Linked DNA regions of Cricetulus griseus. The protein of the gene in region 2 binds, or shares a complex with, the protein of the main gene of each other region. Links are inferred from orthologs where the notes say so. Each region holds a gene or a part of one and is shown on either strand. Other genes may lie near its edges. The genes, in order: Axin1, Siah1 and Cacybp.

Evidence for each region.
Region 1: the proteins of Siah1 (region 2) and Axin1 are in contact, whole or in part, in a crystal structure (PDB 5WZZ), measured with the Homo sapiens proteins. The link is inferred for Cricetulus griseus from reciprocal best matches to the Homo sapiens genes SIAH1 and AXIN1. Residues at the interface, in NP_003022.3 of Homo sapiens: Cys130, Pro131, Ser154, Thr156, Leu158, Asp162, Ile163, Val164, Phe165, Leu166, Ala167, Thr168, Asp169, Val176, Asp177, Trp178, Val179, Met180, Asn272; in NP_003493.1 of Homo sapiens: Pro378, Lys379, Glu380, Val381, Arg382, Val383, Glu384, Pro385, Gln386, Lys387.
Region 3: the proteins of Siah1 (region 2) and Cacybp are in contact, whole or in part, in a crystal structure (PDB 2A25), measured with the Homo sapiens proteins. The link is inferred for Cricetulus griseus from reciprocal best matches to the Homo sapiens genes SIAH1 and CACYBP. Residues at the interface, in NP_003022.3 of Homo sapiens: Leu158, Gln159, Asp162, Ile163, Val164, Phe165, Leu166, Ala167, Thr168, Val176, Asp177, Trp178, Val179, Met180, Asn276; in NP_055227.1 of Homo sapiens: Lys59, Pro60, Ala61, Ala62, Val63, Val64, Ala65, Pro66, Ile67.

What each region holds. Positions count from the first base shown.
Region 1 is NC_048600.1:45,765,633-45,776,670, reverse strand, and holds the start of Axin1 (axin-1), read right to left. Parts: upstream 6,606-11,038; 5' UTR 6,441-6,605; intron 2,578-6,440; 5' UTR 2,497-2,577; coding exon 1,619-2,496; intron 1-1,618. UniProt on the Homo sapiens protein: Component of the beta-catenin destruction complex required for regulating CTNNB1 levels through phosphorylation and ubiquitination, and modulating Wnt-signaling.
Region 2 is NC_048596.1:162,340,130-162,350,842, forward strand, and holds the start of Siah1 (E3 ubiquitin-protein ligase SIAH1), read right to left. Parts: upstream 6,663-10,713; 5' UTR 5,455-6,662; coding exon 5,256-5,454; intron 2,599-5,255; coding exon 1,748-2,598; 3' UTR 1-1,747. UniProt on the Homo sapiens protein: E3 ubiquitin-protein ligase that mediates ubiquitination and subsequent proteasomal degradation of target proteins.
Region 3 is NC_048598.1:31,829,497-31,839,759, reverse strand, and holds the start of Cacybp (calcyclin-binding protein), read right to left. Parts: upstream 10,246-10,263; 5' UTR 10,083-10,245; coding exon 10,062-10,082; intron 5,090-10,061; coding exon 4,873-5,089; intron 3,226-4,872; coding exon 3,129-3,225; intron 2,543-3,128; coding exon 2,443-2,542; intron 119-2,442; coding exon 21-118; intron 1-20. UniProt on the Homo sapiens protein: May be involved in calcium-dependent ubiquitination and subsequent proteasomal degradation of target proteins. Probably serves as a molecular bridge in ubiquitin E3 complexes. Participates in the ubiquitin-mediated degradation of beta-catenin (CTNNB1).

The DNA.
Region 1 (11,038 bases), on a different chromosome or scaffold from region 2:
TGTCTTTTTGAAGACAAGGTCTCTCATGTAGCTTTTCTTTATAGTTCGATGAACCTGCTTTCTTGACAACCTACTTGATTGGATCCCGGAGTCACCATGCTGGCTCAGTATGGGTTCTAAACACCAACCATCTCAGCACCTGGGAAAGGTTTTCATGTTGAGATTAATGGTAAGGTAAGTCTCTAGTCATCAGCTCTAGGGAAATAAGCAGGAAACAAACTCTGCCCACAAGTAAAACAAGCACCAAGGTAGCCAAACAAGCTTCCTGTAACCAAGATACTAAATTTTAAAAAACAATAAAGCTTGGGCTGACAAGACAGGTTATCAGGTAAAGGAGGCTGTCACCAATCCTAATGACTGAGTTCAACCCCTAGAACTCACAAGAAGAGAAGTGATTCCTGAAAGTAGTTCTCTTACCACATATGCACACACATGCCACATGAGCCTGAGGGCAGTGCCTCCCCCACCCCCCATACTTGAGGTGCAGGCGCGCACGCACACACACTCACACAGCGGAATAAATGTAAAAATATATATACATTAAAACAGAAAAGTGAAGAAACAACTTTCAAAGCTACAGTCACTTGAGAGCACTGTTGTCCTCCAGTTGCACCCTTGGACTACACCCTTACTGACCACACCATGGAGGGAAAATGTCCAATTCTGGAATTCCAAGCACAGACATCAGTAGTTTCTGAATCTCTGAACCTCCCAACAACTAATGACACAGAAACTGCCCCACTACTGTCTCATCCTTCAGGAAAAATCCAAAAGATTGATTAAAATAGTAAGGTGTGGGAGGTGGGTTTTGGAGAGATGGCTTGGCAGTTAAGAGCACTTGTTGCTCTTCTAGAGGGCCAGGGTTTGAATCCCAGCACCACATGGTGGCTTGCAAGTGTTTGTTAACTCCAGCCAGTCTCAAGAGATCTGAAACCCTCTTCTGACAGAAATTCTGTGGGTACCAGAAACACATGTGGTATACATACAAGGCTATAAAACGGCCATACACATAAAATAAATAAGTCTAAAGTTAAAAATAAATAAATTAGGATTTTCTATGCATTTGAATGCATTCCCCTCCCATTATTAAGGGTTAGGGTGTCTGTCTCCAATCAGGTCCCTCTTTTATGAAAGATGACATGAATTTTGTGCTCAAACGTAAAGCTTAAACATTATGACTTCTAAGAATTTCCATGTTTCTAATAATTCACAAAGACCTATCTTTAGTAGTACATGTGTTACTAAAGAGGGAACTAAAGGAGGGTTTCCAGCATGCTATGCAGGAACTCTGATAAGCCTCCACGACTTTTCATTTTGAATCTCTACAAGTTGCCCAGACTGACAAACAATTTTTGATCCTCCGTCCTCAGTTTCCCAAGTAGGTGGGATTACATCTAAGTCTTGTTCGATGCATTCTCAACTCTGCAAATATAAAAAGGTATAATGACAAGCATGAAGACATCTAAGTAGGAAATAGAACCACACGTAATTCAACAAGAGCAGCAGTAGAGATTTCAGCTGGGATTGAACACAAGGCCACCTGTTACCATCTTTCCCTTGCTCCTTTGCCAGTTCTCCAAGGTGTGTATAGAAAATGGACACCTTGTGCCGAACTCACCTGAGCTCTCTGCCTTCGCTGTACCGTCTACTTGAGGGGGCCCTCGGGGCAGCAGTCTCCAATAGCAGCTTCTGGGTGAGCCTGCTGGGGGGGACAGAGTCTCGGCCATCATCTTCATCTGCATCTTGGTCACATTTCCATTCTTCATCTTCATTCAAAGTAGGCAGGTATCCAGACATGCCTTTCCCTGTCCCAGACCCTGAGCTCTGGTCACTGCAAACCTTCGGACTCTCTGAGCCTGTCCTTGTGTATTCCAAATAAATGTCAGACTTAAGGAAAGAAGGGTAGGTATTCTCCTCCATGGTGGACTGGATTTCTGTCTGTGCCTGGTCAAACATGGCAGGATCGATCTGCTGCTTCATGACACAGTCCTTTATGAAGCTCTTAGTGGCTGGCTTGGTTTGTCTGGACACAATGCCATTGCTATCCAGGATATACTTTCGATAGATGGCTCTTGCCAGCTTCAGCCTCTTCTCCTCATTTGAGTCACAAGGCTCAAGCTTCCTGAAGCCACTGCAGGCAAACCAGAAGTCCAGGAGGTCAGCACAGCCCTCCTGCTTCAGGAAAGTCCTGAACAGGCTGATCCCATCTTGGTCATCCAATAAGGAATGCAGTGACTCAGCCCACCTCAAGTATGGTGGGGTGGGGGAGGCACTGCCCTCAGGCTCATATCCCAGATCCAGATCTGAACGTCTTGGGGTAGCTGTTGAGGTCTCACTTTTAGTGCTGGCACCTTTCCCAGAGCAGAAACTGTGGTTAACAGGCCTTGAATCAGTAGATACCAGTTCTCCCTCTTCTCCAGGCACTGGGGGCCGGGGGGCATCTTCGGTGAAACTTGTTCCGAGGTCCAAGGGGAAACCCTGCTCCTGGACATTCATTTTGGGACTCTGCGTCAGTGAACAATGAGCGCTGCACCCTAATACCTCAGTACTTACAGCTCCCAAGGGAATCAATCTGTCCTGTTGAAACCATTAAGAGGACAAGGATTAGGAAAGGTGGTCCATGGAAACACCAGAGGTTCTCTTGAGATGTGCAGTGATGCCCCCCCACTCCCACTTGGAGCAGAGACTCATTGCAGACTTCCAGCAGAGACATATCTGGGCCAGAAGTTTTGTTCTATCATTAAGACAATTTCTGGAAACTTTTACAAGAATGTCTCTCAGACCAGCCTGGTCTAAAAGAGCCAGTTCCAGGACAGCCTCCAAAGCCACAGAGAAACCCTGTCTCAAAAAAAAAAAAAAAAAAAAAAAAAAAAAAAAAAAGAATGTATGTCTCTCCTACTAAGTGAAAGACTAGATCTTGGAGGGCATCTCTCTTTCAGGGGATGTTTTCAGTGATGAGGCCTGAAGATCACCCATCCTGACACTAAAGAAATGACTGTCTGGTGGACAGGAAAGCTAAAGAAGGGAAGGTGCCTCTGTAGCCATTTGCTAGCATCAGTGACCTAGATGGTCCCTCACACATAAAGACAACCATATCACTTGCCCAAGTGACACTCAGAAACAAAGAGGCACACTACAGATCCTAAGGTGGATAGGCACATTCCAAGTTTAACAGTCTCTGTACTAACCTGTCTGCTCTATCACTTTTCATACTTGATATGCCTCATAATATAAGCAACCACATAGCAAGATGTGCTTCCAGCTCTCAACAGCTAAGAGATCAACTGTTCATGTGCCACCTTCCACATGATGAAAAGTGATGGAAGGACACAGTCCATATGTAGAGGCATCTGTGCATCAACATAAACAACCTCAGAGATGCAGAAAGCTATACTTACTTGGCTGCCAATTTCTCTTAGAAGAAGAGTCCCTTCTGATAGCAAATGGTAACTAGAAACTTAGGCAAAAAAGGTATAGGGAAAAATGAATTACAAATACTTTAGCTTTTTAGCTAAAGAAGCATACAGGAAATATGGTTTAGCTCCACCAGATGAAAACCATACCACCTACACTCTTAGAGATTAGGGAAATAGTTTTTGCTGCTGTGTACAGTGTTCAAAAGGAAGCAAACCTGTTCATATTTGGATAGGAACCTCTACTATGATCTTTGGTCCTTTCTACTACATCCCATGAGAGCCTAGAGAGCCCCTGAGCTCCAGCAATGCCTCTCAACCTATTCAAAGGGGGAGATAACACAGCATGCCTTGTCCCAAATGGACCCACTAAAAGTGAGCTGGAAAGAGGCTTATGGCAGGATTGGATGTCTGGAACACTAAACAAGCCAGAAGGTACAAAACAGATCCTTAATACAAAAGCCAAGCATGGCGGTTCATGCCTGTAATCCCAGCATTCAAAAGGCTGAAGCAGAAGGATCATCCTGAGTCAACACTCGCCTGGGCTGCAAAATGAGAACCTGTCTCAATATAAATAAAGCCAGTGTACTGGCACACATCTGTAATCCTGTGACTTGGCAAGGTGAAGAGTCAAGACCTTGATCAAGAGTTCAAGGTCAAGGGCTAGGGATGCAGCTCAGATGGTAGAATGTTGCCTTAGCAAGCTTAAGGCCAGAGTTCCATCACCAGGTCCCAGATAATGCATGAAACTGAGTGGTAGTGTACACCTTTGAACAGAGGCAAAGGCGGGAGATCAGGAATTCAAGGTTATTCTTGGCTACATAAGAGTTGGAGATCAGTCTGGGCTACAAGAGACCCTGTCACAAAACAAAACAGCACAGCCCGGGCTTTGGTGGCGCACACCTTTAATCCCAGCACTCTGAGGCAGAGGCAGGTGGATCTCTGTGAGTTCGAGGCCAGCCTTGTCTACAAAGTGAGTTCCAGGACAGCCTCCAAACCAATACAGAGAAACCCTCCTGAAAAACAAAAACAAAAAACAAAAACAAAAACAAAAAAAACAGCACAATGTACATCTATAACAAAAAATAAGGGAGTGGCTCTCCCTCGTCACCACTCCACAGTGCTGAGCCCTGGCTTCCATGAAATCCATCCTGTGCTCATCTCACACAATATACACTTTACCTGCTAATAATGCTGATGGCTAGATTACTAATGGCTAGAAGGAAGAGGCATGTACAAATAAAAGGTGGGTCACAATTATGATATTTCTGCAGCTAATGACTTCTTAGGTAGGTTATAATCTCAGCCTCAGCAGGACCAGCCTGTTTCTTAAGGTCACACAGCCCCTATGACTGAGGTCTCAACTGCTCATAGACCTCCCCACACCTCTCTTTAACCTCAGTCACTTTCTGGGGGCTCTGTTTCCATGCAGTAAGCACCTTAGATGTTTGAAGCACCACACCAGCCCATCATGTCTACCATGCTCTTATCTAGGATATCACCACAGGAAAAAGGGCCTGCACCCCTGGCCACCTATTCCTAGAAGTACATGAACATTCCCACAAATTACTAACGCTGAAACATCGCAATTTCCAATAATCCCTGGACTCCCACAGAGGACACCTAGCACTTAAGGCACATACAGAAATACCACACATAAAGCAGTTATGAAAATTCAATAAGAGTCCAATGCCCATAGCACCAAATCTGGCCTCAAATCTGTAACTACCACCTATAAAGTGACTCCATAAAGGTAATATACAAGTATGATATCATATTTAAAATCCCCTTTGACACTGTCAAAACACACAGCCCTGGATATGTGTGCATATATTATACTCAAGCATAACTTCCAAACTTATGAGTTCGATTGAATGTAGAAGTAATAACATGACTAGCATTTTACCAACTATCTCTTGATTAAAATCTTGAAAGGTCAGGGCTATAATTTCCTATCTATTCCAGTCCCCCATCACATAAAGTCTTAACAGCCAATATAACTCTACTTTGTTTCTCGGAAAGATATAGGACAAGTCAACACCTGCTGAAAAAAATCAAACAAAATCCCTATGCTTTGTACACTTTCTCATCTTGAAGCTAAGTTCTAAAACTGAAAACAGCTAGTACTGCCCTGATGTTCTCCATCAGTCTGAGAGTAAAAGGGAGGAGTACACACGTAATGAGAACCCTTCTTAAGTTATCCTGGAGATGAGTTGAGAAAAATCTGAGGCTGGTGGATTCTTTTTTCCCTCTTATTGTCTTCATGACTAACTAAAAGTGTGCAGCTCTGGGTTTTGGTTTTGGGGGATTTTGGTTGTTTTTCTTTCGGGGGGGGGTAAGTAAGGCATGAAATGAACACCTGGTCAACTCGGTGGTGGTTTTGGCAAGCCGAACGAACCACAGCATCGCCAGAGTGCCCTTCTTGCTCTCACTCATCCCTACTTTCCTTAACTTTTTCACAGGGGTTGGGGGATGAGGCAAAGGAAGGACACACACACACACACACACACACACACACACACACAGCTCAGAGGACACACACAGTCTGGCACCAACACCTCCTCAGCACCCACATCCTGAGTGTGTCGCAGACCGTGAACAACCGCAAGCACACCACACTCAGCAAACATACATCCAACCGAAGATCATTCCTAGAAATCCTTGGTCTTCCTTACTCCCTTGTCCTTTCACATAGGCCTTTACCTTCCCCATGCGCTACTATCACCCCTTGCCTGGCCTCTAAAGTCCTTCACTCCATATACCTAGCATACCACGCAGCCCCCATGCCTCTACACGTACTGCGGAGCCCGCACCTCTCCTGCTCAGTTTCCCCTAGGAGCTCTGGTCTCCCCGCGCAGTGCACAACCGCGCACATCGCGGGCCGCGCTCCGACACGCCTCCCGCCCGCAACCCGCGCGCCCCTCTCTTCCGGGTCCGGGTCCGCCGGCCTAGCGCGGCCTACTCCCGCAGTCCCGGGCATCAGGCCTCCGCGCCACAGGAGCGCGCCCGCCGGCTCCCACTACTCACCAGCGCGCGGCGGCTGTGGAGGCGCGGCCCGGGGCCTGACTCCCGGCCCGGCGAGGCCCATGCGCTCAGCGGCGGCTCGGCGGGCGGGCCACGGCGGGGGCGCGGCCCTGGGGACCCCCATCGCGGCTACGGCGGCGGCTAGGCGACCCGTGGCCCGGAGGAGTCGCGGGCCGCCGCCGACCCGCTGCTCACTCTCACCAGCCTCTGGACGGAGGCTCCAGCCCGACCCCAGCGGGCTCCTGCGGCGGCAGCGGCGGCGGCCGCAACGGCCGCAAGCGCTTCCCTGAGCCGGGAGCCTAAGCCCAGAGCGCTGAAGCCCAGGCCCGAGCGCCCCCGCCGGCGCCGCCCGGAAGTGCGGGGGCGGGGCCGCGGTGTGGGGCGGGGAGGCTTGTGGGCGGGGCCTCTTGTGGAGGCAGGGTCGCGGTGTGGGGCGGGGCTTCTAACATGGGACGGGGTGGGAGGCAGAGGACAAGAAGAGTAATGGCAGGATTTTGAGCAGGAGGCGGGGCTGCGGCCGTGGTCAGAGTCGGAAACCGGAGCCAGGCAAAGTCTTGCCGAGGTGGAGGCGTGGCGTGGGTTAGTAGCGCTCCTGGGACTTAGTCGGGGAGGACGCCCAATGGAGCGGCGACTTCAGTAGGTCCCGAAAGGTGGCATGGGAAACTTAGCCCTGGGCGCGTTCAACAGCTACTGCCACCACCAAGCCCCTGAGCCAGTGCACCAAGGACAGAGCGCCCAAGTCTGGACTGACACACCTGGTGGTAGGCACTATCCTGAGAGTGCTTCTGGGTATCCAGACGCCACACACACACACACACACACACACACACACACACACACACACACACGAACGAGACCTACTGTCTCCAAACACACACACACACACACACACACACACACACACACGAACGAACGAGACCTACTGTCTCCAAAGGCTTGCTTCTCTTGCTGAGGTTACAGACCTGAGTCTGCAAGCTCAACAAGCCAACTCCATGTTGCCTCACCACAGGCTTCAGGACACAAACAGCACCAGGCACATAGATCTCCATTTGGCAGCAGCCCCTACACCTGCTCTGGGGTAATACCCTGTCAGAACCATCACAATTGAAAGGCATTGATCAGGCCTCAACCTTCTGTCAGCCATTGCCCAAGGAGAAGGATGTGAACACAAGGAATTACTGCTCTTGTGAATATCATCTACCATGCTGATCAGGACTCCGCAGCACAGCCCCTGACACCTCTCAGGTAGCCAGTACACTTTGCCGACAAGAGGTTGCAACTTAGGCTCAGCATACACCCTGGCCCAAGGACTCCTGGTACCCACATCCATCAGAACCTCTCCTTCTGTTGTCACCCCATAGCACCCTATCATGGCTGTATCTTCAGTTGCCATCTACATTCTTCAATATGTATGATGCTGTTCCTAATGCTACTACCATGCTTTCTCCTGGACATTGTTCACCCTCGCTGCCTGGCCCTTTATCCTTCATGGCTCCCAGGCAAAAGCAGTGTATTTGCTTAGGACTTCTGAACCCACAGACCATCTTTCCCCCAGCTGCCTGAAGTGATCCTACACCTGCCACCTGCCTCTGGGAGGACATAGCATAGTGCTGGTGCTCAGGGTTGCTATGTATAGAGAAGGGACCACTTCAACAATAGCTAGTAATTAGGGTGACTAGCCTGCCAAATTCCTCTCCTAGACTCATTACTGAACCTCGGGGCAGGGGCTGGGCTATAGACAATGCTGTACTGCTAAGCCAACATAGCCCCATTCAAATCCCAGCAGCAGGTTTCATGTGCACACATGCCCAACTAAAACAGTCCCAGGGCCTAGGGTCCCTGGGCACTGAAGACGCCCTCGAAGCCCCTGTCCCAGACCATTCAGCCTCATATCATTAGAAGAAACAATTATGGCCACTGATTGAGCATAGATAGCCTTGACATCGGAGTGCCTCCCCACTCCCAAACCGGGGCCCCAGCGCTTGCCTTGATTCTGTAGAGCTGCTGCTGCGGCCAGGCCAGGCTCTTGGGATCAAGTCCACGTCCATCCTCCTGCTAGCCCACGGTGGTGGGTATCCCCAAGCCCTGGGACCAGAATAGGACCCTCGGGCCTCCAGCTCCTCTTGGCCCCTGCCCTGCAGGGACAGGAAGGGAATCAGGAAGCCTGGAGGAAAGCAACAGCCTGCTAAGGTGGGCTGTGGGGTGTCCATGGGGGAAGAATTCCAAATAAGGGGTAGAAATTGGGGAGGATAAACCAGAGGAGGGAACTCCAACAAGGGCTAAATTATGGAGACCTTGAGGAAATTCCTACAGTGAGGAGGAGAAAGAGGACAGCACTTGGAAACCTTGCTTCTGAGAGACAGGTACACAGGGGCCTTAAAATACAAATGCAATGCCCTTTGCCCCACCCAGAATTGCCACTAACAGCTTTAACAACTTCCATGGCATTTTTCAGGCCTTTGGTCCCAGGAATGAAAGAAGGTTTAAAACAAACTCATGAGCAGAAATTATTTTCTTCAATGTAGACATAGAAATACTTTAAAATACGTTTGTTGAAGCCTTTATTTGTCCCTATGACTGAGGACGACCCTTCTTGAAAACTGATAAAGTCATCTAGCACCACCTGCCATGTGTGTTGCAGAGGTTCTGGCCCAGTGATACATGGCAAGAAAACCCACAGCAGAAGGTCAACTACAGAAATGATGGTTGGTGGCATCTGAGTTCCCAGCAGAGAGTGAAGATTTGTAGTCTTAAATGGCTCATTTACAGTTTTGGGATAAGGCAGCCATCTATACCCAAAGTGGCTCAGAATGCTGGCTCAGAGGACTTGGATGTCCCAGTTCTCTTCTCGTTGGCCAGCTGCTTTTCTGCCATAAACCCAATCCCAGCCTCTGCCTCATCCCACACATCTTCTTTTTCCACCATTTCTACAATTGGGGTTGAGGGACTGGGAGTGGAGGTGCGGTGTCCAGGGAAGACTGGACTCACTGTCCTAATGGAGGACAAGGAGTTTGAGACACAACAGTGAGGAGAAAAGCCACAATGCCACAAACACAAGATGCTAATTTTTGTGTCACAAAGCATGTATCCACTAAGGCAAGAAGAATAAGAACCTGTCAAAGAGGGCTCATACAGAACTATCAAAGGGTTCCTCTCACACCCACTCCAAAACAGAGACTCACTGTATAGCTCAGGCTAGCCTTAAACTTGGGATCTTCCTGCCCAAGCTTTCCAAGTGTTAGAAATACAGGAGTGAAGGTGCCAGTATGCTCAGTATGTTTTACTTTATTCTTTATTCTTCATGAACGTGGTATAATAACATTACCATTATAATTACTTGGAAGCCTCAACAACTCTGCAGTGGCTGCCACCTTCCAGTTGACATCAATAAGTCACATGAACAACATGAAGTCAAGTGAGCCTCTGGAGGACCCAACTGCTCATGGGCAGCGTTAGCTGTGTGTTCCTGTGCTCACTCCAGTCTAGTGCCTCAGGGTGCCCTAACTTTGTATCAGAAGCCACCTTAGCCCTGGCATGATCCTTGACATATTTATTTATTTGTTTGTTTGTTTATAATGTGTATGGGCATAAGATAGTCAGGGCCCACGGAGCATTGGTAGTACATGCCTTTAATCCCAGCACTTGGGAGGCAGAGGCAGGTGGATCTCTGTGAGTTCAAGGCCAGCCTGGTCTACAGAGCAAGTGCTAGGATAGGGTTCAAAGCTACAGAGAAACCCTGTCTCAAAAATCCAAGGGGGTGGGGGGGAGATGGTCCGGGCCCATATGTAGAAGTCAAAGTACAATTTCTGGAACTTGGTCCTCGTCTTCAACATGTGGGTCCTGGGAATTGAACTCAGGCCATCAGTCTCAGCAGCAAGCTCCTTTACCTGCTGAGCCACACTTTGCTGGCCCCATGTTCTTCCTCTTGCATCATTCCTGGTGATGTATATTCTGAGCTGGCATGTTGCCTTACTTTTTTGTTGTTTGTATTTTGCCCAACAAGAGCACAACTGTCCTAAATGATATGGTTAGGTATGGCTTCAGTGTTAACCACTGTTGACGCTTCTAAATAATGGGTTATATGCCAGCCACAATTGCAATGGAGGGTTCTGATGGCTCCTGCTTCAGAATGCTGTTTCAGCTCAGTATCTGCCTTCCCCTCCCAGGTAAGGAGCACCCATCCCCAAAGGAGTAGAGAAAGAATCACTCTGCCTTCCAGCATGGATGGTCTCTTCAGAGATGGATACTGTGGTAAATGTTATTATACTCTGTGTTATTACATGTTCCAGGCCCAGTCAGGTGGTACCATGCTTATCCCCTGGGTTAGACTCCAGAGGTACTCACAGCCATGTCCTCCTCCATCCAGAAGACCCTGGTAGCCTCCAGGAGTCAAGAGCCAGTACACAGGAAAGTAGGCATGGGTATGGTGCTGGGCCAGCTCACCATGTAAGTGGACCCCAAGGAGTAAACCCTTCCAGAATACTATCCACACCTTCTTACTGGGATCTGACTCCCTACTGTCGTGAGAGGAATCATCCACACTGCTGTTCTGAAGGGCTCTAGCCCTCAGGACTTGTCTGGGAGCAACTGGGAGAAAGGGG
Region 2 (10,713 bases):
AAGCTACATAATCCAGAATTGGAAATAGGATAAAGGAGAAACCCAAATTAATTCTCAATGACTTTCTAAGCTTGGGGTACCCACTAGGAAAACATGAAATTATCAAAGGCAGATTTCTGCTGAGTGCCTGAGAAACTAGGGACATGACACTAAGGGCCCCACATTGCCTGGATGCGTATGCTGTGTGAAGCACTGTTTCAGGTTAAAGTACGCCTTCCTCATTTAACCATTCACATACTCACCACAATTTAACTCCATTTTACACATCAGGAAACTGGGCCCAAGGACACACAGCTGGTAAGTTGAGTAGAACTAAACTAGTACATGGGAACTTGGCAATCACGCTGCAGGGTCAAGACTCTGAAGCAACTCACTTTTTATAAAGGAAAATAGTGATCAGCATTAGTTAGCCATACTCCAAATATCCTCGTGGAAATCAAAGGGGGGGGCAGTCTTTTCTGTGCTTCAAAACAAAACTAACATACTTCAAAATGGTGGCATATACTCTTCTGCTTTAAAATGCAGACTGGAACAAGAAAATACCTTTGGACTTTGCCAAAGAGCTATCTAGTAGAGCAGGGATTGGGGATGTAGCCCAGTGAGAGAGTACTTGGTTATCAAATGCTAAGCCCTGCGTTCAGTCCTCAGCTCCAGGGGAAAAAAAACAAACCAACCTAGAGCTAAAGTAAACACATTAAGATTTTTTTTTAATTTGCCAGATAATCTTTTAATGAGAATTATAAAAGACCAAAAACATTTTTTTTTGCAAACTGCCTTTTTCTTAAAAACAAATGATTTACTTTAATTACAAATACTGTGTATGATGATGCACTCTTTTGCAAAACCAATAAATACAAGAACCAATTTAAACATGTGATTCGCCCAAGACATTTGAAGAGAGGAAAAGCCTGATTGTTTTCAATATGTATGTAAATCAGATTTTCTCCCTAACCTAACCTTTCAAAGAGTAAGCCTGGTGGTGTAACTCACATAGACAAGACCATCTTACACCTGCTACAGCTTTGACAGCTGCTCTCATGTTATCTTTCCTTTCTGGAATTCCTATTTTCACAAAAGGGCTGAATTAAAAATATTTCTAATAAATTGATTGAAGGAAAAGAAAGTATGTACTCAACACAAACTTTTGACATAAGCAATTATGAATATCAAAAAGACACTAACTTAAAAGGTACAAAAGTGAGAAAAACCTGAATTACAGAAAAGAAAGTCAAATTTATTTAATGAAAAACTAGAAAATTAGCAAATACACACACAAAAGAAAAGAAAAAAAAAAAAAAAAACACAGCAGCACTATGTATTGACTCACAAGGGGAAAGCAGTGGTCCATGACCACACAGATGGCTTGTCAGTTAAAGAAAATCCAACCACACATGTGCACGAATGTGTGCACAGACACACACCCCCAAAAATTTGTTGTCAACAATACAATCAATCTACAACAAACACAAAGTTCAGAAATATTTTACAATGTTTCCTTTCTTAATACAAAAGATGCCCATCTTAGGTATATATATTTTTTTCAGTGGTTTACGTTGAATTATTTTTAAATATATTAGTGTTACTACATGCAACTGTTTCCTGTATTAACAGCCTTTCTTTTTATTTACCTTCATGTGTCTAGCTTCTACCTACCAGGAGTTTTAGGTTGGCAAGCAGATGGGTGCCTTATTCTCTGTGAAGTCAAATGCAAATTTTAAACACTGGCCAGAAATATTTGATTTCGGTTTCAACACATGGAAATAGTTACATTGATGCCTAAATTGCCATTTTCTGCAAAAAGCTGTGCAATGCTGGTGTCAAACACTAGGCAGTCACTATTCATAATGGCTGTTGCAATTCCCTCGTGAATAGAACGAGGAGTCGCTTCCCAAGTCAATCGCCGCCTATGACCATTTAGCTCAAGTCGATAAGCAAAATTTTCAGCTTGCTTGCGTGTTCCTATCAGCTGTACAATTGCGAAGAACTGCTGGTGACCATCGTATTTTTCCTGTTTCTCCAAGACTAACATGAAATGAAAGCCAAAACAGGACTGCATCATCACCCAGTCAACAGCACCAGGAAGGTTAATGTCTGTAGCAAGGAAAACTATGTCTTCTCCCTGCAGGGTTGTAATGGACTTGTGCTGATGCATCAGGTGGGGCATAACAGCATCCAAGGAGCCTTGCCACTTACAGGAAGCACCAGGGCAGGGGCAGGAGTAAGGCCTGAACTCACAGAGCTCCTCGTGCTCTGCCTTTTCTGTGTGCGGCAGAGTTATTTCACATCCAGAAGAGGCATATTTACAAGGGAAAAGTACTGAATTGGCCACTTTCTCCATAGCCAAGTTGCGAATGGATCCCAATGGGCCCCGGCAGGTCGGACAACATGTGAGTTTGGGGCGACAGTTGCTACAAACAAGATGGCCACTCTGACACTGAAGAATGGGTGGCAACACATAGTCAAAGCAGACAGGACACTCAAAAAGACTCGCCAAGTCATTGTTGGATGCAGTTGTGCCAGTCAGGGCAGGTACCCTCTGGGACGGCGGACACTTTGAGGTGCCAGTGGGTAATGCTGTAGCAGTCTGACGGCTCATTTCTGTAATGAAAAACAAGAAAATAAAAGGAGGCAGGAGAAAGTTATAACTATAACACATTTATAGATAATGTACACATGTCATAAATACTTGTCATGAGCAGAAGAATAAAGTTAAATAAATATGGTTTTAAAACTATATACAAATAAAATAAAAATTAACATGCTAAAGGTGAATTTTATTTACATAATGAGTAAACCATATTTCAAAATGTTGTATAGCATGCTTAAAATACCTTCCTGTTTAAAAAAAGTTATGAAAACCTCCAGGTGGGCTACATAAATAAGAAGTGCAACCAGGCAGTGTTGGCGCACGCCTTTAATCCCAGCACTTAGGAGGCACAGGCAGGTGGATCTCTGTGAGTTCAAGGCCAGCCTGGTCTACAGCTCAAGTTCCAGGACAGCCTCCAAAGCTACAGAGAAACCCTGTCTCAAAAAACAAACAAAAAGAATGTAAATATAGCCATGCCTTTAAGCCCAACACTCAGGAGGCAGAAGGAGTTAGATTTCTGAGTTTGAGGTCAGTCTGGTCTATAAAGCAAGTTCCCAGACAACCAGGGCTACACAGAGAAGTCCTATAAAAAAAAAAAAAAAAAAAAAAAATGTAAGGCTGGAGAGATGGTCCAGCAGTTAAGAACACTGCTGAGAGGACCAGGGTTCAAATCCTAGTACCCAAATGCAGGTTCAAGAGAGGCCTCCAGGGAACTACATACATGTGGTGCACAGACACATGCAGGCAAAACACCCATACACATAAAATGAAAATATTTTTTTTTAAAGAAGACCTTAAATACAACATAAGACCTATTTGGGCTGGACTTTTTCTCCCCAGAGTTCCCACCTCTGTCTACTTCTCAAGTCTGAGTTAACTCTCACAGCTTCAGGACCTACAGCCCGAGTCCTATGTAGTCCATATGCCAAAGGATATCAGAGCCAGACTGATTCTTTCCAGCAGGGAGCAGCATCTTCTGGAGAGCTGTGTTCTGGGAATGGGGCTCGGAGGGCCCAGGGAAAGGAAGAGTTGGCATCCCACTATCCACCTGCAGCTACCTACCTACTGGGTCTTCTTTCAAATCAGCGAGACATCATTTTGTCTCCTGTCAATCAGTACCCACCTCCAGGCTGAAGCAACAGGAAGAAGTGGAAAACCATCGTTCAGTAAGTTATTGTATTTAAGGAAGTCCTTATTCTACCTTTTTAAAATGGACACGGTTGTATTCTAAAAAAACTTTACTTATAAAAAAAGAAGAAAGTCCTTATTCTACTTCCATTCTGCAGCACAAATCTCATGTAACATGCAAAGGGAAGGGAAAGTCAGGAAACAATAGGAGGAAGTAAGGGTAAAAGCATCACACAGACACAAACACAGGATGGGGAGAGGGGCAGACTCAATAAGCAAAGAACTCCCCTGCACCCTTGGGTTCCCTGTGTGGCTGCAGCAAACACCAACTATACACACTGATTTCAGAGTCATCTGGAGGAAGGACCAGCCAGTGACAGTCAAGCACAATAAGCTCCTTTCCCCAGGACTCTGCCTCTGGGGAATTTGGCAGGGTGCAATTTATCTCAGACGTTGACAAAAGATCAATGTCCTAATAGTGCACTCCCTGAGACCACACTAAATAATATAGTAATTCTCCCAGTTATAATCACTCTGTTGCAAAGACCTTTAAGTTTCAAAAAAACTGAAGTTACAAATGTAACCAAGTCAATACAAATGGAATTTTAGTAGACAGTAACATTGTAAATAAGGGGGCTAAGAGCAGCACTGGAGGTTTAATTTTTTTTCTTTTGTTACTAAAGCAATACTAGCAAGTTCAAAGGGCAAAACAGTACTAACAAATGTTTAGCTTGCCTATATCCCTTGGTTTCATCTCCAACACATACAGTATGACAAAACTCCACCACAACAGCTCAGACTCATGGAGGAATACAACATGAATTAGCTCTCATCATCTGAAGCCCTGTGATCCAGGTGTCATAATAAAATGGCCCCTCTGTATTCTACTTTCCACCTGATCAAATTCTTTATGCAGCTGATTTATCCACTTTAGGTCAATGGCCTTGGCATTACCAAAGCCATGGGTTTCCCATCTGCTTCACCATGTTAACTGTGGCTCACTTAAAAGAACACAGATTTTGGAAAGTGATTTCTCGAAACAAACAGTTCCGGTCACATCAAAGAGCTCAGTTTATATTTAAACACAATATAGCCAAGTTCAGAAGAAAAACACTAGCCCAGTGCTTTGACCTGGCAAAACACCTCTAACACTTATCAGTGTAAGTTTGGGTTCATGTTACATCGTATTTTTATTGCCTTCCAAACACTAGAGAAAGCACACTGATATTCTACCCAGCATGATAAACAAAATGTGGTTGGAAGTATGACAGCACAGATAACTGCTACACCATTCCCTAGTTAGAAGGATGGAGTGTGGCTCCATCTTGAGCCACAAAGCCTCTCATCCACAAGCAGCTGCAAGGTAGAAACCAAGGACAAGTCCACAGAAGTCTGGACACACCTGAAAAGCTAGATTTAAGCAGGAGTTGCCACAGCTCCACTGAGCCCTCAATGCCGACTTTCACCAAGCCTAAACCAGAATCTATGGATTCGTGCAGTCCAGTTTCTGTCTCGGAAACAGATGTGTTTACGTCAGTACCTTTCCTCTTCCTGGTCCTGGTCCTAACTGTCGGCAAGCATGCGAGCAGGACTCCCTTCCAGGAATGCAGAAGGGGTTCGGGCGGCTTCCAGGTCATAAGAATCGAGGCGTCAGGTTCCTGCAAGCCACAAGGCCAGCCTGCACCAGAGGACCCTGCAAGGCCCTTGGCTCCTAAGCATAGAAGGCTGCTCACTTCCATTCAGTCTTAAGACCTGTCCCCAGGAGAGACAACACCTCCCATGAACTCTAAACTGGGTGGTCAGCAGAAGATGGCCAGCAGCTCTGGCGTCCTGCTGCTTAGGCTCCACCACCTGGCAGGCCCTGGGGCAGGGCCTCGAGAAGGGGCGGACCTCGCTCCAAGCCCCGCCCCACAGACCACCTGGACAGCTCTGGCAGACGCCACGGCAACATGAAGCCTGTGCACTTGGCAGCACTTAAGTCCCGTAGAACATGTTTCCGGAGGTCAGGATCTCAGTGCTTTCCTAAGTCTCTAGGGTAAGAAACACACAGGGAGGAAGGGAAATGCGCAACCAGGCAAGCACTCCTAATGTCAGCTTTGTCCTGTGAATTCTCAAGAAAAACATTCCCCCCCACAACTCACTCAATATTTCCAGGCCTCAACTACTATTTTCCTCAATTCTAACTCTGCCGCTTGTGTGCCAATCTATTTCAAATGCCCCCTTCCAGTGCAGTGAGAATGTAAACACACTCAGGGCATGTAAACCTCCACTTCTACCTCCAAATTGAGGTTATATATTCATCCCACTCTGGGAAAGTTTTCTTAACTGGCCTCATTAAACTAGAGTAGCTTGCCTTGTTTTTAAACAAGCACTACCCTTGGCCCATAAAGTCCTATACACTTCAGACCTGGATGGTGTCAGCTGAATCTTCAAAGCTTAAGCTGGTATTACATCACACTTAGGACAATCTTCAAATACAACCAGAAACTGGCAGTGAGTGCCCCAATACAATGGGTTTCACACACCTTCTGCAACTTCAACTCCAACCACTTGCCCACCTTTATTGTATTCAATCACTTCCACCTAACTGTTTAATACTAGACTACAACAAACAGCTTTAAGAACAGAAATATAAACTACACATTCTAAATTGCACATCAAGCCTATTTTGGCATTAAGTTTAAATAGCTATTATCTAAAAGGAAATAAATAGTATTAATGCCTTTAATTTTGTCACAACATTTTTAGGGCATTTAGCCACATTTTGTTGTTGTTCTTTTGGGAGAATTTTTGTTTGTGGAGGCAGGACTCACTCAATCATCCTAGACTACCACTGATTTCTAAGAGTCTGAAAATGACTTTGAACTTCTGATAATCCAGCTTTCACCAACTTCCAGTGAGTACTGGGACTGCTCACCACCACACCTAGTTTTGTGTGGTGCCACACCTTTGGAAAAACTAAGCAAGCACTCCACCAACTGAGCTATGTCCCCAGCTCATATACATTTGTTAATGTGCATGGGTGTTTTGCCTGCATGTGTATATATACACCACCTGCATGCATGATGCCAGCAGAGGCCAGTAGAGGGCATAGGATATCCTGGAACTGGAGTTTGGACAGTTATGAGCCATTATTTAGGTACTGAAAAACATCCAAAAGAGTAGCAAGTGCTCTTATCTGTTGAGCCATCTCTCTAAGTCTTGCACTCTTTATTTAAAGAAAATAAAAAGGTAGAATACCAAGACTGCTCACCCCTTAATTTCCCTAAAATTCTTAGAAATTACATGTTTATTATAAAGTTACAATGCTAAGGGTTATAGATGAGTGATGTGAGGTCTAAACCCCGAAGACACGTAGTTAACTGAGGTGCTTATTTAACATACAAATTGGACTTGGCTGCCAGGTTTTCCCTGCATCCCTCAGTCCCTACCTGTTACAGGGTATGGCTGGCACACCCCACCTCCTACCCTACATTTCTCCAGCCCAGGGGCTGAGCTGCCCTTCCCTATATAATCCAGCCTTTTTGGTTACATGCACACCCTCACTGTCTATCCTGTACTCTCCTGGCTCTCCTCCCCCCCTTTCCTCTCTCCTAACATGACCTGGCTCAGGGTCATGTTCACTCTGGACTCTCCTAGATATCCCTGCCTCTGGCTATGCTCTCCCTTTTATCTATAATAAACCTCCCCTCCACCATACCTAGGAGCAGTCATATCCTTCCTTTTTAATTTCATTTTTTTTTCATTCATCCGGTACCCACAGCCGGGAATGGCATAGATGAGCTCCCTTCCAAGTACCTGGGCTGCTCTGAATCAAGCTGCTGATTTGCCTCTCCTAAGGTTTGTAGAGATCACTTGTTTCCAATAACTCCTGTCATCTATCAAATTTGACCCCAAATTCTAGAGTCCGCTGTCTCACTACTTCTCCCCCAACGCCCACATGCTCTAACCACGCCTGTCCTTGTCTATGCCATGAATGTATCTCTGACTCCTAGGGCCTTCTCCATCTCCCAAGGAACCCAGCCACCTGGACACTGGCCTCACATCGCAGCTCCACCGGCTACATCTGTCTGGATCTCTACCAAGGACACTTACCGTCTCCCTTTTCCCCTGCTCGCCCATCTCTCTTTACTGGGTAAGTGTCACCTCAAGCTGCCTCCTTTGTCTACTATTACTACAAAAGCCACACCAGGGTGACAGGAAGCTCCTCTCGCCCTATTTAGGCCCCAGTCACATGGGAAGGACACCTTTCCTCTGGGATTTGGAACACTTTTCTCCCTGACAAGTTTCCCATTCCCCTTGAGGACACCCTGGATGGAAATTCTTGTCACAAAGGCTCTTTATCCACCTCAGTTCAGTTGCATTCTCTCCCCTCCCCCTAGGCCCTGTAGTCCATCCTGCAGGCCACCACTCTCTCAGGTCCTGCTGTAGTACCTAGTTTTTTCTTTCAGCTCCCTCCTAAAGTCTCCTTGACCCTCTGCAGCTTCCTGCTCTGTCTCTTCCTTAAGCCCTCCCAGGCCTCTCCCAGCAACTCGGAAGCTTCTCTAAGCCTGAGCCCACCTGGGCCTCTATACACTCTCACTCAGCAACTTTTGGGAGTTTATAGAAAAGTCCTCTGAGGGTGGAGTTTCATTTCTCAACATCCGGACTATAAACAACTTGGCCTCAGTACCAATGGCCAAACATTGGCACACTTGATTTCCAAATCCTCACAAATCGTAACAACTGTCACAGCATAAACAAATGATCCCCAAATCTCTCTTATCTAAACTAGCTCTGCTCTACACTTCTACTTCCTACTCTTAAAAATCTTTAGCTCTACAATTTCTCCTTGCTCTGCTATCAAAGTCTCTTAAGACTATGCTGTAAATTCTCTCAGGATTTGTAAGTTCATTGGGTATGGTTAAAAATGATCTATAAATCTGTAACAAAACTTGGCTTTAAACTTATAACAAAAGGCTTATAATTAAAATCTACACATAGGCAATCTTAATAATTTGCTACAAGTTACTATACATGTGATTCAACTCTTGTTTAGAACATACTGCATATGTACTTAGATTCAACTCTTTTTTGTTTGTTTTTTCAAGACAGGGTTCTCTGTGTAGCCTTGACTTCTGCTTCCTGAGTACTGGGAGTAAAGGTGTGCACCATCACGGCCCAGTTGGATTCAACTCTTGAATAAAAAATAAAAAGTGATCTACAAAAAAAATAAACCTTTAAATAACAGCTCCATGGCTGGCAGCCATCTTTACTAGGGTTAAAAGGTATATGCCAAGGGACTTAACCACCATCTTATGATGACCATATAAAATAAGCCAATTAAGGCAACACCTATACTTCTTTTTAGTCCTACTGAGCCCTCTGTTTCCCCTTTTAGACTAATGAAACAACAACAGGGGTCTCCAAAATATTTTGGATTGGTATGGATTATGATGATAAAATTTTAAGGTTATTACAGGTCTACTTGGATGAACAAAGCTGACTTAGAGATTTACAGCTAACTACTTATGTCTCTTTGCTAACTGTTCAACTCCAGGCTTCTAGAAAACTAAGATAACAACATGTGTTTGACAAATAAGGTATATTTGATAAGGTCTATAAATTCCTAAGGTCTACTCAGGGTCAGAGTAATAGCCATCTAGCTTCATTGTCTCTGCTCACTTTATTAAGCTTTTCTTAAGCTTTAGCTATCTGGATTAACCGAGTCATGCAAAAAATTGATATAATGGTGCCCTATAAAAGAAAAGTTCCCAGTCTTCCTATGGACTATATGTATGGCTTAAAGCTTTATTTTGATGCTGCCAGGGACACTTGTGGGTTAACTGCTATACTCTGCCTGGTCAAGTCCCCCAAGTCCTTTCCACAGGAACATCTCTCAGACCTGGGTCTGGCCAAGGCTGCTCTGTGTGGCAACTAAAGATTAAATGCTGTCCTATTTGAACACTGCCTCAAATGAAGACAGAGCCCACAGGAGCCTAGGGCAACCATCTAGGTAATGGCTTCAGGGAATCAACTTGAATCACCTCTTGCAGGCCAGACTCAAGTACTCATAAATTTTCCCCACCTGCCCTATTCCTGAGATTGGGATCTCCTTCCTTCCTTCCTTCCTTCCTTCCTTCCTTCCTTCCTTCCTTCCTTCCTTCCTCCCTCCCTCCCTCCCTCCCTCCTTTTCCTTTCCTTTCCTTTCCTTTCTTCCTCCCTCTCTCCTCCTACCCCCTCCTACCCCCTTGGTCTTGGGAATCCAGCCCTCCAACTACCAAGACCATGGGTCTGAAAGTTTCAAATGTATACTCTCGATTAAAAATTTACCCCTAGGAGCTGGAGAGATGGCTCAGTGGTTAAGAACATTAGCTGATCTTCCAGGGGACACAAGTTCAATTCCCAGCACCCACATGGCAGTTTACAACTCCAGATCCAGAGGATATGACACATCAGCCCACACATACATGCAGGCATACACCAATCAATGCTCATAAAGTAAAAATAAATTATTAAAAAATATGTCCCCTAAGATCCTTTAACTTTACCTTCTATCCCTAATCTCTATCTGTTCCAGCATATTTCCAATCAACTAAGTACTGCAAACTGCTCCAAAATCAACAGCCCCAACTGCTTCATTCAGATGGACTTTCCAACCAGCCTGAGCCTCTGCAGCCTAGATTACTTCAAAGTAGCTAGCCCCAGCTGGTCCAGCCTCATAGACTGCTCCAATGTGGCCTGCACTTCCCTAGCTCCAGAAGGTCCCATAGAATCTGGACAGCATGGGAAAAACCCTGCTCTTCCAGGTCTTGGCCAGCATTCCTGCTGTCTTGGGTCCCCAATGTCAACAGGAAGCAGTCATAGAAAAGACTTCATCCCCCCCTTATCACTGATTATCAACAAAAACACTGGGATGTTAGGTCTCAAACTCTTGGACAAATGGCTGAGGTACCTATTTAACATATTAAAGTGGACCTGGCTGCCAGGTTTTCCCTGCATCCCTCAGTCCCTACCTG
Region 3 (10,263 bases), on a different chromosome or scaffold from region 2:
AGTAAAATTATTAAACTTACTCTTTCTCTTTGCATTCTTTTTCCACCTGAGTTAAGTAGTCCCATCGTGTGTTTTCTGCTTTCTTTCTACATAAGATGATAACTGTATCAGTCTTGACCTGGAAGAAAAGGAGAGGAGTAGGAGCTTGTAACATAGAAATAAGCATGAGTATTTTAAGAAATGCTGTTACCAATCAAGTGCCTAGTATGTTAATACTCATTCTTGATGCTAGTAATACTTTTATACAAACAAGTGGAATACCTTTGATGCTAATGCCATCAAGATCTGAACATAGGGTTGGGGACATGGTTCAGCTGGTAGAGGCTTGCTCAGAATTCATGAGGCCCTGGTCTGATTCCTATTATCACATAAAACAAGGCATTGTGGCACACACCTGTAACCTCAGAACTTTGTAGAGGCAGGATTACCAAGAGTTCAAAGTCACTTTTAGCTTCTTAGTGGAATGGAGTACTGTCTGGGCTACCAGAGACCTATTTGAAGAGACCCTTGGGCTGAACCTACCTTGGTTGTAGGTAAACTCATGTGCATGTGTTCTGGTTGATTTTGTGTTAACTGACACAAGCTAGAGTATCTAGAAAAAGGACCCTAAAGTGAGAAAGTACCTCCATCAGATTGCCTGCTGGCAAGTCTGTAGGGCATTTTCTTGATTGATTGGCAGGGACTATATAATCCCTGGGCAGGTAGTCTTGGGTTGCCTAAGAATAAAGCTGAGCAAGCCCCAAAGAACAAGCCGGTATTCTTACTTCATGGTCTTTCCTTCATGGCCTCTGCTTTGTTCCTGCCTTGAGTTCCCTTCATGACTGACTATGATCTGGACATGTTACTTTTGGCCTTGGTATTTTATCACAACAACTTAAATAGGACAGCATTTCAATGCAAACACAAGGACCTGATCAGGTATCTACAACCCAAGTAAAAAAAAAAAAAGCCAGGCATGGTCATACACAACTGTAGTCCCAGCACTCCTATGGCAAGATGGGAGACAGGAAATCCAAGAAGCTTGTAGGCCAGGTAGCCTGGTACATATAGTGGTGAACCAATAAGACTCTGTCCCTAACAGGGTAGAAGGTGAGGACTGACATGAGACTGTCTTCTGATCTCCACATATGCATCATGGTGTATGTACATACACAAAGACTTAAAAGAGAATATTAATGGGAAGTGTGGAAAAAACTTTAGAAGGACTTCACTGGGACAAAATGTGAACCAAGTGAAACCTAAGACCTGAAAGGAGAACACCACAGACAGCTAGCATAGCAAAAAGAATTATCTTGTCGGGTGGTGGTGGTGCACACCTTTAATCCCAACACTTGGGAGGCAAAGACAGGTGAATCTCTGATTCTGAGGCCAGCCTGGTCTACTGAGTGAATTCCAGGACAGGCGCCAAAGCTACAGAGAAACCCTGTCTCGAAAACCAAAACAAACAAAAACAAAACAAAAATGAATAGCTCCTAGGTGAAACAGTTATAGTGTATTGAAAGGACTAAATCTCAGTGATTTAAGGAAAACTAGAGGGGTCTGAAAGGAGAGCAAGGAAGGTAAACAACTTTTTAACTCAACAATGTGTAACTCCTAGATGCTTTGATTATTCCTCTGACTATGAGACATAACAAATAGGCTACTGCAGGGAGAACTGGATACTTAACACATGGCATTTATTACTACTTTTAAGCAAATACATAACATGGAAGAATTACATGTCTATACATTTGATATATTAAACATCACTTTTTAAACTGAAAAAAGGGTTGTGTAAGTTTGTAAAAAGCATAAGCAACTGATTTTTTAATGAAAACTTCCTTATTTTTTACAACTTCAGCAATTAAGTACTTAAGAGATCCTTATATGCATCAGAAATTTACATATAACACAGCTAATAGTATACTATTTATGTTAGTGCTTCCTATTTATTTACCAGTATATCATTCCTACTTTATGAAATTACCACTGTACAAAGAACCACCAGGGGTCACAACTACTAAGGGATAAAGCTGGCATTAAAACTCTTACTCACTGAAAACATTTCTCCTTACTTTTAATATATTCTACAATGAATTGGCAAACTTCCTTCAAAGGGCCAAACAGTAAATTATTTATTTTTCATTTCATGGGCTAAATGATCTATTTTGCCACCGTAGGAGAAGCAGACACCAAAAGAACGTAAGAATGGTTATTCCAGTAATGAACTACTTACAGATCAGCCTGTGGACTGTACTGTACTGGAGCTAGATACAGCTGAAAACTTATAGTTCATCTCTGCCCTAAATCAGCCAGATTCAATTTAATAAAGTTTTACAATATTTTCACGCGTGTGCGCGCACAACACACACACACACACACACACACACACACACACACACACACACACACACACACGCGCGCGCGCACACACACACTCTCTCTCTCTCTCACAATACTCACTTTTTTTGAACTGCTTTCCACAGAGATGGGTTTCAAAAGATTGTTCACAATCATGGAGTAATTCTTGCCATTGAGATTTTTTACCAAAAGATCAAATGACCTACAAACACAACAGGGAATGCATTATCTTTCTGGTTCTATGACAGTCACTCTATGGTTCTTGAGACAAGTCAACAGCTTTGACTTAGGGCAGTAGTTCTCAACCTTCTCCCTTAATACAATTCCTCATGTTGTGGTGACCCCCAACCATAAAAGTATTTTCATTGCTACTTCATTACTGTACTTGTGCTACTGTTAAGAATCGCAATGAAAAGCTGGGCATTGGTGGTGCACACCTTTAATCGTAGCACTCGGAGGCAGAGGCAGGAGGATCTCTGTGAGTTCGAGGCCAGCCTGGTCTACAGAGTGAATTCCAGGACAGCCTTCAAAGCTACAGAGCAACCCTGTCTCGAACCCCCCCCAAAAAAAGAATTACAATGAAAATATATGCTATGTGGGATATCTGATATACAACCCCTGTGAAAGGGTCACTTGACCTTCCCAAGGGTTTTCGACCCATATTGAGAACAACTGGGTTAGTATGTAGACTTGGTTGTTCAGCAGAATTTTGGAAGCCATACAGAAGACAAGATTCCTATGATAAAAATAAGGCAATGATAGCTGTACTTCCAGTAACAAGAACGCACCTCTCAGTGAAGTGTACCTGCACATTTTCAGTGGGAACCTGATGAACTCCAGTTAAGGTAATGTAGATTTTCACAAACTTATCTGATTGATCCCATCCTAGCAAAACAAAAAAGATGAACAGACACATCTGAAACTATCCATAGAACATGGCTTAATATAAAACTCAGCAGTTAAAAGCACTGGCTGTTCTCCCCAAAGAACCAGAGTTCAAGGCCCAGCACCGACATGGCAGTTCATAGCATCTGCAAGTCTAGTCCTAGGGTATCAGAAACCCTCTTTTAGACTCTGAGGCATGCAGGTGACGCACAGACATACATGCAAACAAACACCCATACCCGTAAATAAAATTCAGAAAATAAAACTCGGTAACAGTTTTACTGTTACTCCAGAAACAGACACACACACACAAATAAATTAAAAATTCTCAAGATATGGGACAGAGAGATGGCAACTATAACTCCAGTTCCAGGGGATCTGACACCCTCACACAGACATACATGCAAGCAAAACGCTAATGCACATAAAAAATAAAAAGGAATCATTAAAAATTCTCAATATGGAGAAGCTATGTCTCAAAACCGAACTTCTGAAAACAGTACTATTCCTGAGAATAAGCATCCAACAAGTGGGAGAATGTACAGTAAGATTCAGTTTCTAAATGCAAAGCTAGGGTCATTAAATGCATTTCATCTTTCTTATGAATACCAGCAAGACCTCTACCAGTTTCTCTCCAGCTAAAATTTTTCATTTTTATTTTGAGAAAGATCTAAACTGCCAAAGTTGGCATCAAACTTGCAATCTTCCTACCATAGCCTTCCTACCATAACTATGATTAAATTCTGTGTCACTATGCCCAAATACGAGAAGACTGGCTTCTTGTTTTTTTAAAAAAATTTTGCCCTTCGGGGCTGGAGAGATCGCTCAGAGGTTAAGAGCAGTGGCTGCTTTTCTAGAGGTTCTGAGTTCAATTCTCAGCAACCACATGGTGGCTCACAACCATCTGTAATTAGATATGGCACCCTTTTCTGGCCTGCATGCATACAGGCAGGCAGGACATTGTATACATAATAAACAAATCTTAAAAAAGGAAAAAAGAAAAAAATTTGCCCTCCATCTAAAGCTTGATAGATCTTGCCATGGGGGGTACACATTTATAACCCCAGTACTTGTGAGATGGAAACAGGAGAATCAGGAGTTCAAAGTCATCATCAATTCAACAGTTTAACATCAATACTGTTTAATTCAGTAACTATTTCTACTTCTCAAAGCAGTCTAAAAAAAAAAAAAAAATGTAACCACAGCCCTTTCAAGACATAGCTACTTGGGAGGCACAAATGGGAGGATCTCTTGAAACAGTCTAGACAACATACCACGATGCCTGGCCTCCAAATAAAACAGAATGAGCCTGGTGGCTCACATCTGTGACCCTAGCACTCAGGAGGGAAGGCAGAAGGATCTCCACAGTTCAAGGCCAGCATGGACTACAAGCAACTATCTCACAAACACAAAACAAGCAAAACTCAAACAAGTATAAATAGATAAAAGATCCTAATTTTTCACCGTAAATCTGTTAATTTGGCCTCCCAGTAAGTACACTATCTAATGCCACTTTGGTAATCTAACCCACGCCAAATGTCAACATTAAAAATAAAGAGCACAAACTTCACACAAAAATCTATGAATACATTATGAAGTAGTTCTTTCTGCTTGGCAGAATACTAGATATAGTGGAACGGGGCATACCATAATTACTGATTTTCACAGTGTATCCTGTCGTAAGAGGAGCAACCACAGCAGCTGGCTTTTCATTGTCAAGTTCTGATTTCTTCTGTGATTTCTGCTGCATCTTGTTCTTTATTTCTATCTCAATCTTGGATTTTTCACTTGTAAGAGTATCACGAACTCTTTTCCTAGTGGACTTTTCCAGCAACACTTTGACCTCTTCTAGGTCCTTCTGCAACTGTGTTAAGATAGAAGTAGGTTAGGATAAATAAGGCCTACCATCCAATTCAACTTACTGAAATAAAATGAAAAGTTAAGTTCATTTTAATTTTTAGGTTTCAAACATAATTATTTCTTCTTGTTCCCTGAATTGTAAACAACCCACATTTCCTTCTTATTAAAGGAAAACAATCTTAAATCAATAATTGTCTTTATTTTCCAGTTTGGTAGGCTGTTACCTGTCTGTGTTTTAGAAAAGTAGGGGGAAAATTTTTTATAGATGTCCTTGTAACACCTAGCTAGACATCAAATATTAGAAAACTTTAATTATAGTCAAAGAGATGAGAATCCATCTGACTGGGAAGGGCGAAGGCAACTTTACTGAGGTAACAAAGGCTGCACTTTCAGTGATCAATTTTCCTATCTCAGAATTTGAATTTTTTAAATTAAAGATAAAAAATAAAATAGCAAGATGGCTCAGTGGGTGAAGGTGCTCCCTGCCAAGCCTGATGCAGAGTTCAATTCCCAGGATCCAGGTGGAAGGAGAATCAATACCATCAAGACCTTATCTCCACATATGTCGTAGTAAATAAATGTAAAAATATTCTGCTCCTAAGAAAAAGTCTTGTTCAGCAGTTGGGTTGATCTTTTGGTTAGAATCTGAGACCAAGAAAGGAAACTTTGGATATCTAATCCCTTATGACTCTTGGAAATTGGTCTTTACAAGTCTGTTTTCTTGTCATGCCAATACAACAGGTAAGTCTTCTAGTTTCTAGACAGACATTTATGATGTTGTGGAACTTCATTAAAGACAATCAATGGGCAGGGTCTGGAGAGATAGCTCAGTGGCTAAGAGCCCATGCTGTTCTTCCAAAAACTAGCTGTTCAGTTCCCAGCACTCACACCAGAAGCTCACAAATTTTTGTAATTCCACCTCCGGGTGTCTGATGCCCACCACGGGCACCTACATACATGTGCTATTACGTATACAGGCAGATAGACAAAAATATTTCTCCAATCATGCTCTGATGTTAATTGTGAGTAAATGCTTTCTGCCTTGAATGGCCAAGATCAAAAACACCAATGACAGCTTATGCTGGTGGGAGTGCAAACTTATACAGCAGCTGTGGAAATCAGTATGGCAATTTCTCAGAAACTCAGGGATCAACCTACCTCAAGACCCTGCAATACTACTTTTGGGCATATACCCAAAGGAGGCACATTCGCACCACAAGGACATTTGTTCAACTATGTTCATAACAACATTATTTGTAATAGCCTGATCTTGGAAACAGCCTAGATGCACCTCTACTGAAGAATGGATAAAGAAAATGTGGTAATTTACACAATGGAGTTCTACTTAGAAACAATGACATCCTAAAATTCACAGACAAATGGACAGAACTAGAAAAAAACATCCTGAGTGAGTAACCAGAAAGACTCACTCATAAGTGGATACCAAACATAAAGCAAAAGACACCCAGCCTACAAAACATACCCCAGAGAAGCTCAAACCCTCTTCAAAAACAGATGGAAACAGATGAAGAAATCCAAAACTAACCAATAGGCCAAGCTCCTGGAGTACAATCAAAGTGAGAGAGGAGCGATGTATGAACAAAGGAGTCAAGACCATGATAGGGAAACCCACAGAATCAGCTGACCCAAGCTAGTGAGAGAGCACTGACTTGGGTCTGACAAATGGAGAACCTAAGACCGAACTAGCCTGACTCTCTTAATATAGGTGACAATGGTGTGACTGGGACAATATATGAGGCCACTGGCAGTGGGTCCAAGATCTAACACTAATGTACAAACTATCTTAGTGGAGACCATTCTATATGGAGAGATACCTTGCCCAGCCTAGACACAGGGATGTGGGGGTGGAGAGGTACCTTGGGCCCACCTCAACAAGATGACTTCCCCTCTCTGTGTATCAAATGGGAGGAAGGGGGTGGGGGAGGGACGGGAGGAGAGGAGGGAGGGGGAACCAGGATTGGAATGTTAAAATAAATTAATAAAAAAAGTGTAAAAAAAATTTTTTTTGCCTTCATACTAGGTAACCTGATCACAAAAACAGCAATCTTACTTTACACCTTCATACTAAATAAAAGGCTTAATGTTAAGTCTTTAAATGACCCTTTTACAACTGAAGAGTCCATAACAGAAAACCACAATCAAAAACTAGGAGTCCAGTCTCAATGGATATATCTACAACATAACTCCCTAACCTAAGGCATTATGTAAGGCTCAGGGTTAAATGTGGAAGAGGTGAGGGCTAGAATAGAAAGAGGATCAGAGATTACTGTGAGACTGTCTCCTAGAAATATCAGAAGCCACCCCTCACCACCTGCCCCAAAATCTCATCAGTGCAACTGCCTAACTGTGAGCAAGGAAAACAGGCAAGCTAAAGTGAACAAGGTAAGCCCGTGATATCTCAACCCTGCCCAAAGAACTACAGGCAAACGAAAAAGGCTAACAGCATGAGAAAGTCTTCCCCAGGGAAGAAGACAGACCTGAGCAGATTTGTAACAACTAATGAAAAGAGAGACCATGAAACTCAAGGGGAGCAAATGGGAGGCTTGGAGGGGGGGAATAAAATAATTTTTAAAAATCTTTTAAATGCCAGCTATCAGGTAGCATTTGAAGTAAAAAGGAGTTAGCCTTTGTTTTATAATCGCTATTACTACATGGCCTTTATGATCTCATTTGTTGTATTTACTTACAACAGTTTATAAAAAACACAACAGGGATGCTCCTGTCCACAATCAAGAAATACTGATTCTAAAATCCAAAACTGCACACTCATCTTTTGAACATAGAATCAAGGTGTTTCATTCCAAATCCTTCAGTGGCTTCAAAATTCATGTGGATTCTAGTATCAATATAATAAAAATATTAAAAGTAAAGCAAGTACTTATTCCTCCAATAGGAATTTACTTAACAAAGAGAAAGGAAACCTATCAAATCTAAGTTAGAGGTTTTGCTTTTGCCTGGAAAAGGAACCCTTTTTCTAGCTGACTCATGGCAGAATTCCCAGGCCCTCTTTATGGCCAATTTTAGCTCTAAAGTACTCTGCACTCTTTAGTAAGGTGTCAACAGAAGAGTCATTGCTTGGCTTTTGTATTTGCAGCCCTGAAACCAACATAGTGCATCCAAACTTTAAGGTGACCAAGAACAGATAAAGCAGTTTCTATCTATTTTATCTCATAATTTTTCTTGCCTTCTTGGCATGCATTTGTTTCCTGTATGTAAACATGTATGTTCCTTTGAATCTATCTCCTCGTTGTGCACTAGGGGCCTCAAAACCAATGTGTCTGGCCTGGCCTGGTAGCATATGCCTGTAGTCCTACCACTCTGGAGGCAGAGGCAGGTGGATCTCTATGAGTCTGACTACTACAGAAAGTTCCAAGCCAGGACTATTTAGTGAAACCTATCCCTGCAAACAAAAATTGCTCAAAATAGGGAAAGAACCCACGTCGTCGTCGTCGTCGACACCCCCCCCAAAGACATGGGATTGTGTACCAGGTACACATACACAAACAGATGTATCACATCCAGAGAAACACACAACAAATCCATAAAGTGGTACCACACACTCACTTAGATGGTATCATGCGAACAACAAACACCCAAGAAAACAACAAAATGTTATAGTATATGAAGAAATACTATCTTTTATGCAATTCTTGTGACAATGGTAGTTTCCCAGGACGTGCCTTATTATCTAGCAACTACATGGACTAATAACATGCCCCCAAAACAACAAAACTTGTTTACAAAGATTCAAAATCATCAAAATGGAGAAACGACCATATGCCAACAGATGAATGTGCATTCTGTATGTACAATGGAGTTTTATTCAGCCATTAAAAAGGAATGGTGTATTGATATACCACGGGTGAAATAGAAACATGGAGGGTACCAGCCCAGCTGTTGCCTTATCAGAGCCAATACTCAATGGATTTCTTTTTGAGGAAATGAAAATATTCTGCAACTAAATAACAATGATGGAAGAAGGTGAATTTCACAAAAGAAAAATGTGCCCCTAAATGCATACCCCCCAATTATAAAGTTAAAGTTCCTTCCTTCGGAGAATGTTTACTACTGAACTACATGTGTGCACAACTGTTAAGTAGCCCCAGACTCTCCATGTGAGCACATGTGCTCAAGGCTACTTACTTGTGGCAAGATTAATACTTTACCATAACTTAATAATCTTTCTGCCTTTAAAAGCGGATGTCTTGCTTTTTAAAGTGAGGGGAAATTTTTCGAAAAGGAAATTTTAACAGATAGCCCACGCGTATATCAATCACATAAAGTCTACATAGGCCATAAGTCGATCGATTACCATTTCCTATTTTGTGGCCGAGTTTTAGAGCTTGAGGTTCCAAAAACGTCAAGTCACCCACGTTCATAATTTACAGACCTATAAAGAGACGCCATGCAATCCCCTATCATTACCTACAACTAAATTTCCAATTATTTCTTAATGCACTTATTACATAAAGATTGGGGATGTAACGCAACGGTGGAGCGCTTGCCTAGCATGGGCAAGGCCTGCAGGTCCGCCGCTGGCGCCGCTAAAGGACCAAAGTGAGTCGTAAGTGCAGCCCTGGGCGTTCAGAAATAACACACAGGACGTAGAACCACCCCACGGAAAGAGTGCGGTGCCCAAGAAACTATCTTGGCTAGCCGTGTAGGCACAGGAATGCCTTCCAATTGCCCTCCACCTGGAGCTACCAGCTTTTGCAATGGGCTTTAACGGAGGTCCCGGTCCCCGGGAGGCCCTCGGGCACACGGCGGGGCCCCGCGCAGGCATGTGGGCTCCCGACACACCCCCGAACTCCCGACCGCGGCCCGGCGCACAGGGCCCAGGCAGGTGGCGGCGCGGAGGCCGCGGGCCCACGGCAGGGTCAGGGCTGAGGACGCGAGCCCGGGGTGAGGCGCGGCCGCCGGGCGGCGTGGGCCGGTGGGTCGAGGCGGACCCCTACCTCCTCCAAAGCGGAAGCCATGGTGTGGCGGTCGGGCCCGAGGCCGGAGCTGCACCGGTGCACCGGTGCGGACAGGAAACGCGGAACACGCCACCCGAGAGCGACAGACACAGCAGCAGGCGCGGAGAGCTACACCGACCCGGCGCGATCCCGCCGCCCGCCCTCCGCACGCGACGCCTCTGGAACCTTCGCGAGGTTCCGC